2 linked regions of the Canis lupus familiaris genome follow. The protein of the gene in region 1 interacts with the protein of each later gene in a pairwise test. Links are inferred from orthologs where the notes say so. Each region holds a gene or a part of one and is shown in the gene's direction. Other genes may lie near its edges.

Region 1 (4,455 bases):
TATTTTTTCAATTCTTATTACAGGTTTTCTGCAAAAAGCATGTATCAAATTATAAATTTGATAAACTGATATTTTAAAATATTGTTTTACAGTGTCATGTAACAAAATGATAGAAGGGGACCAAACTGAGGCAGATACCAATCATTTTAGGACTGATAAAGTAATCCAAGTGAGAAATATGAGGACCAGAATGCAGGGACAATGACAAATTTGAGGGAGGTCTAACGAAGTAGCACCAGCAGAAGTTGGGGATGGGGATGAATGAGGTTGGTGGAGAATGAGTGAGGACAGTCTAAGATGATGGCTTGGATGACTCTGTCATACCCTGAGAGAGGAACTCCAGCAGACCAGCAGGTTTGGAGTGGGGTGAAGAAGGTGGTTTGTTAGGGACTTTCCAGTTTGAGGTGCCCGAGGACCTGAAGACAAAGGCCAACAGACAACCGGATATAGGTCTGGGATCTTAGTGATAACGATTGAGAGTACAGGTGTGGGAGTCCTATCATTACTAATGGTCTCCTTAAGGAACGCAATGGTCAGTGCACAGAGAGGCACACTCAACTGTGGAGGAAGCTCTGGGGAAGGGTGAGATGAATAAAGGGAGAGGAGGCTCGGGATGGTGAGCGCAAGGAGGAAATCAGTGCAACTTAGTGAACCAAGGGCAAATTTCAAAGAAGAAACAGACGTATCCAGAAATGAGAAATTTCAGGTAAGCTTAATGACAGTGCCCTTGAGAGTGCCGATTAAGACCTTTTGATGAACTTCATCATGAAGCTTTTTGGTGAAGTGGTCCAGGTGGAAGACCTCTGGAACTGTCTGAGGAGGAAACAGGAGGATTAGAAGTTTTATCAGTGAATGTAGATCACCCTCTTAGGGAGCACAGGCGTAAACGAGGGCAATGGCCCCATAATTAGCTGGGAACATATGCAATTTTATATCTCCAGGACTCCACTTCCTCACCTATGAAAGGATAAAAATAATGCCTGCAATAGTATCATGAAGATCAGAATCTATTACTAGTTGAACATACTTGTGTCCTTTTCACTGCATCAATCTGTGGTTGCTGCTCACCAGTTTTTGTTTTTTTTTTTTTTTTCGTATCTTAATCATCAAATTCAGGTGAAGAGCAATGCACACAGTCAACCGGTTTTGCATTTCCCTAACTCAAGGTATTTTCTATTGTATATACCTGAGTTCGATCTCATAAAATATTAGTATATACTCCCATTAGCACTTTGAATAAGAACAGCTTTTGTCTGGGAATAAACGAACTTAAGGCAGAACATTTCTTCTCTCACCTCATCTTACAAAACGAAGAGACAGCCTCAAGTAGAGTCCAGGAGCCAACGTCATTTGCTTTATGGATCAAATTGACCCACGTATTCTGGATTAGTTCAAGATTCAAATATTTCTTTAGATCCAACTCTCGAAATCTCTATCCCCTTTTTATTTTTTTAATTGAAGATTTCATAAGACCAAGTCTCTGCTTAAATGAAGTCACACAGCCATGCCGTGACGTAACAATTGTTGCCAGCTCATAGGGCAATAGGCAGAAGCAGGTAACGGTGAGTCCACAATGCAGGTTCAGGAAGCAGGTAAATACCTGGAGTTATTCTAGTCAAATCCAAGGCTCAAAGTTCCCAAACTTCCCAAGAAGGCAGTGATAGGGGCCACAACCCAGGGCTTCTCTTTCAAGCTACCAAAAATTCTGCAGGTAAGAACATGGGGCCTCCTCTCTTTCCAGATGGTTCAACCAGAAAACTCTGTACTGCAACCATTTCTAACCTAAAAGATAGGTTCAGAGAGTTATCAGAAAACAAAACAAAAAATATTTTTTAATCAAGGAAAAAGAAAATACAGCATCTTTTTGAAATTTTTTAAAAATTTAAATATGCCCTTAATTTAGCCTAGGTAGTGGAAATTTGAGCATGTATATGAGTTGTCTGTATATGTACTTTGTATTTTAGACTTTTTGGAGCTTATCCAGATACTCCAAATACTAATTTTGGCAGGATTTCCCTTTAAGGATATCCTGCAGAGAATTTGTTACAATTCAAAGTAAAAATTGACAAGGAGTGCTTTTTCAGCCCAGTAGGAGTCAGCTATGTGCATATCACAAGACTTGGAGGAAACCCACTCACCCTCCTATTTCCTTCTGCAAAGCTGAAAAGGCTGCAATTGGGAGGGACCCTCAGATAGCTCTGGTGGTCCATTCTGTTCCTTTTGGACTTGACATTTAAATGTGCTGGAGGAAAAAAAATAATCATCACATATTCTCCTTCCATACTCTTTAAACCACAGGAAAAAGCAGCCTCAAGAAAAAGTAAGTTTTGTTTTCTTTTCCGTAATGTTTCCTTTGTGTTTCTTTAGATGGTATTTCAGCTTTAATTTTTTTTTTTTAAGTATGAGACATTCTTATAGACTTTCTAGTGACTGCTTATGAGAAAATGTTTCCTTGGCAAGTTAAGTGCGTATGTCAAAGTTGTTCAGAAACTTTTCAAAAGTCAGTTGAGCCAGCAGTTGTCAAATTTTATAAGCTGAGTTTTTCAGATTTCTCATTTCAATAATATGTATGCGGAGGCCGCATAGTGGTCAGATAACTCTTTAGAGTTGCCTCCTATGTTATGAAAATGGTCTTTATACATGGGGGTATACCTTTGTTGCCATAAAAAGGGGGTGGCAGGATTCTGGGGACTTATTTGGCTTAATTTATTTAAATGACTAACTTTATTACTGCAGTTATTTTATGGCTGAGTCTATATATCCAGAGTACATTTGAAATCACTTACAGTTTTTAAGTGAGTTAGTGAGAATCCTGCTATCGTCAAGAAAAATCCACCTACTTTCCAGATGCAGGCTTAAAGACCGTACCTAATATGAGGTTTTCGAAGACTGCAGTGAAATAAATATCTGTGTGTCTGACCAACACAAATACATAATGTGTTATAGGAATCTAAAGCTTTGCTTTTTTTTTTTTTTTTTTTAATTATCCATGAGAGGCACAGAGAGAGAGGCAGACACAGGCAGAGGGAGAAGCAGGCTCCCTGAGGGGGACTCGATCCCAGGACCCGGGATCACGACCTGAGCCAAAGGCAGATGCTCAACTCCAGGTATCCCAAAAGCATTGCTTCTTGAAGCAAACAGTGTTACTTCAGCAAAAACACGCATCCCACATGTTTACACTTTCTCCCTCACCAGTTTTTAGTCAGGCCCTCTTTACTGTCTGTCAGCCATTTGAAAAGTGAATGCAACCCCTCAGCTGTCAGTTTGAGGTTCAAAAATGTGGAAACTAAAAAAACATCATTAGTAAAATGTGTAATCCTTATAAATAAAACGTAAGAAAATCCTCAAGTCATTTTAGCTGTCATTTCACATCCACAATATCATCCTGTATAAATGCTAGCATTTTCATTAGCGAAGGCTATAGATTAATATTTAACACAAATACTGCGAACATGTGTCAAACAAGGTATTTCGTAACATATTTGTTATGATATATGCCTGCAGCCACGATCCAAATTGTTTGATGGGGAAGGTAAACTCCGATGTCTGTTTTCCACACTTGCTCTATTTATTTCCACATGTTCTCATTAGTTGCCAATTCCCAGCCTGTCCTACCTAAGAGCAGCACATTTGCATTTTAATGTCACATCACCTCACTGACAAGTTTACCTCTCATTTTTATTATACTTGCCAACAACGTTTTGAAAAAAGGTGGATTAATTTGGGTTCCTTAGGTGAGCCTCGTCACTTTCTACTGTAATATTGAAAATAAATGTTCTTCTAGAACACATTGGAAGAACTTTGATTTGTTTTTTATGTTTTCAATCTAGGAAACATGATTCTTTAGAATTGAAAACCAGATACTTGGGTTCACATGGGAAGTTCTGAGTCAGATGTCAGTTAAACTAACATGTATTTCCGTGTTCTTGTAATTGTCTTTTTCCTCTCTGATTGTCATCATTTTTCTTGGCTACCTTTTGATCCCCTGGAAATGATCAGTTTGAGCATTTATCTATCTCCACAGACTACAGATGCCCTTAAGAATCTGACAAAACAAAACAACAAAAATGCCTATTGCAAATAGATTTTTTAATGACATTTGTGGGGTTGATAGACTCCTGAAATCTGCCCTCAGCTATTCTCTGGGGTCCTGATTATGAACCACTGTTTTCTGTGAAGCCAGAAACCTCAGCTTCAGGCATACCTTGGTGCCAGTGGGGGGGGGTTCACCAAATCTTTAAAAAGATTAAGGTGGAAATACACCTCAACTGTCTCTCTAAACTCTCCTCATCCAAAGACAGGTATGGCTAAGGTGACGATTTTAGATTAAGGGTTAATTTTTAAAGCAGGTGCTTAGTTCATTCATGGCCATACTGTGTGTCATGGAAATAAAAGTGGAGTATTCAAGTAGTAGAACAATTCCTTTTGTAGACAGCCAGGCTTAGGATGGAAGGG
Region 2 (3,231 bases), on another chromosome or scaffold:
TCATGGAAAGTATATAGGTTATACTTATTAACACAAAAGACCTCTCATACATTCCCTTTTTATTCTCTGGCTGGCATTTATGATAGATCTGATAGATATTTCTCCCAGTCCAGCAACAGTTTATATTTCTTTATAGTTTCTTTATAGCCTTGTCAACATTTCCTCTCTATCGTGTGTTTCCTCTCCATGCTGAGGATATATCCAGACACATGCAAGGCCTGAAAACTGAGCTATTAATAGAAGAAACAGGTGTTTTCCATAGCTGGGAAGTACTTAAGAATGTACCATCTACTGGTGTGATCATTTAAAGTTTTGGCTTGGAACTTTGGTAACGTGCCCATTCCCACATGGGATGTGAGTTATGATATTTACAATAAATAGTACACCTTGGTATAGAAAATAAAAAGATAAATATCCCACAGCACTGCTATCAGATATGTAAAATTTCATTTGATAGTAACTTGTTTTGTAAAATTATTATCTTTCTTCCAGATCTAGAATTTAGTAAGATTCAATCTTGAAAACCTTGGTATTCAATCATGAAAACCTAGGTATTTTAGCTAATAACTAAATGTATTTTAGTTCCTTTGTAGAAGATTGGCAAATTTATGAGCGTGCTTGGATTTATTCTCAACATTTCCCTATGCATAATTTAGATTAAATCAACCTGTATTTATCAGATTCTGTTCACTTTTTACATCTTTTAATTTTTTTGTTAACTAGTTGAGAAGTCTGAGAACTTTGTGAGTTCACAGGGCGAGTGCATTGTTCTTGGCTAGGAAGTAGGGGTTGATCTTTTCCTGCAGTTCACTGGGATTTCAAGGTCTTTTTTTCTGCTGACACTTGGTCCCATGTAGAAAAAAAACAGATAACCAGTTGTTAGTCAACTATCCTAAAAATAAAACAGAATTGGCCAAGTCTGTTGTGCACATCACTCTTGGTTCAGAATTGCAGCAGTGCAAGCTGGCATTATAGTTACTGGCATTTAGACGTCCAACATGACTCTTGTTAATATATGTTTATCTCTTTCAATGTAGGCTTTTTTGATATGAAGCATACCCCAAAGGCAGTTATTTTCAACTGACTCCTCCAAAAGAACACTGTTATCAGAGGGTATATTCTATAGAGGAGTTAAATGATGTAGTTGCTCCCCCTCCCATCCTGAAAAAAAAAGGAGAAAGAGAAAAATGTTGGCTGTATTTATCATTTTTTGGTGGGGTTATGCGTAAAATGACTGACTCATCTCATCTGTGTATTTGTGTTTGTTGCTTCAGCCACTCTGTTCCTTCCTCTGGGCACATCTACAGTGCTTTAAAGATCCATATAGTGGGTAGTAAATGCACGTGATTGGAAAAGTCTTGAAATATACTGTTGAGTTATGTAGTAGCTTCCTTGCCAAAGTTTTAATTGTGGTGTTCTCACTTCATGTGTTTAAATTATCCAAATAATATCGGGTGTTGTGTTCTGTACCCTCCCTTCTTCCTTTCCTTAATTTTCAGAATCAGAGTCCATTTCATTTTGGTTTTTGAAAATGTGTGTGTGACTTGCTGACTGTTGTCTTTATCCAGGTTGTTTTCTAGCCAATAAGCTGCTCCTTGCAGTTGTAGTTGAGTTTATTTGTTTTACTGAGATTCAGTCTTGAAGAAACAAAATCTCCAATATGGACATTTCAAGTTTCTGAGGATTGATTTTTCTAACATTTTTGACCAAATAAAGTTAACTCATTGTGATGGAATATGTGGCCTTTTGTGGACAAAGATAAGTAAGAGAATTGAAAGGATCTGTAAATGTTTTTGTAGAAATTCCACTTGGGGATGTGGTCCTATTGTTTTAGGTGACTAAAAACCATTCTGGTCACTGTTACCATGGAATGTGTGCCCTAAGAAAACACCCATTTACAACGAAGGATGGACACATTGATCATGCTCTCAAGTCTTTCCTGTTGTTCTAAACTAATTTTACAAAAGGCATGTGCTTGCTTACGTTTGTTGTGTGGCTTTGTACAAACCTTCCCTGGCATTGATTGGCTGTTGAGTTTGGGGGGCAGAAGTTCATTTGAGCCAGTCTGGGCTGTGCTGAGAGGGTGTTCCTATAGTCATTTGCCTTGTATTGGTTCCAGGGAAGCTGCCCGGGAGTGTCGCAGGAAGAAGAAAGAATATGTCAAATGTCTTGAAAATCGTGTGGCTGTGCTTGAAAACCAAAACAAGACTCTCATTGAGGAACTCAAAGCCCTCAAAGATCTTTATTGCCATAAAGCAGAGTAACTGTCTTTGACTTGGACCTTGTTTACTGTGAACTCTAATCAAGGCAGGAGATGCAGCAATTCTACTAATTGCCATGTGGACTTGTGGAAGGGACACTTGTGACCCTTGAGAATCCAGTGTGGCTTAGTGTTTGACATTGAATTGGGTATGCTGTTCCAAGATTTGGAATGCAGCCATGATCAGATTTACCAAGCTTACTTCAGTCTGCTTGTCAATAGCACGCAAAAAAAATGTTTTGTTTGCCCTCTTGCTTCTACTTTTTTTCAGGGAAGCTGCTAAAGAATGTCGACGTCGAAAGAAAGAATATGTAAAATGTCTGGAGAGTCGAGTTGCAGTGCTGGAAGTTCAGAACAAGAAGCTCATAGAGGAACTCGAAACTTTGAAAGACATTTGCTCTCCTAAAACAGATTAGTAGAAATATTTAACTATGAACTGATTACAACATGTACAGTTGCTTCTGAAGGCAATACAATATTATAGCCAGCAAGAATTATGGCTTTTTTCCTTTGTATCATTCACCGTATTCTCTAACCTCTGACATTCCTAAAATGCCTCACTGTAGTTAACTCTTAGCTATAACTTCGATTTTTTTAAAAGAGACAAGCTGTAAAAAAAAAAAAAAAAAAAAAAAGTATGTAACAAATTCTTAAAATGCAATATTTGTAAGACTTGTTCCAGTGCCACATATTTGCAGTACCCAACCTCTGTGTCATGAATAGTGTCCTATGCAATAAAATTTTTTGCGGGTCTTTAAAAATCATTTTAGGAAAGGATGATCAAAGATAATGCACCCAGCAGTACAATAAAAGCAAACCACAAAAAAATACCTCGGGAAAGAATTGAAAGAAAGAATTGAAAGAATCTAGTGACATGCCTATATGAAAATAAGAGCCTATAAATGAATTTATGGCATTTGCAGATTTTTATATTAGTTGCTTTGTAAAAAAAAAAATATTGTATTGCTGTC

What was found.
Region 2: the proteins of FHL5 (region 1) and CREM interact in a two-hybrid assay, tested with the Homo sapiens proteins (2 studies listed by BioGRID). The link is inferred for Canis lupus familiaris from reciprocal best matches to the Homo sapiens genes FHL5 and CREM.

The regions. Positions count from the first base shown.
Region 1 is NC_049233.1:55,287,476-55,291,930, forward strand, and holds the start of FHL5 (four and a half LIM domains protein 5), read left to right. Parts: upstream 1-1,540; 5' UTR 1,541-1,711; intron 1,712-2,298; 5' UTR 2,299-2,320; intron 2,321-3,082; exon of another isoform or gene 3,083-3,107; intron 3,108-4,455. UniProt on the Homo sapiens protein: May be involved in the regulation of spermatogenesis. Stimulates CREM transcriptional activity in a phosphorylation-independent manner.
Region 2 is NC_049223.1:1,973,392-1,976,622, reverse strand, and holds the end of CREM (cAMP-responsive element modulator), read left to right. Parts: intron 1-2,119; coding exon 2,120-2,264; 3' UTR 2,265-2,689; downstream 2,690-3,231.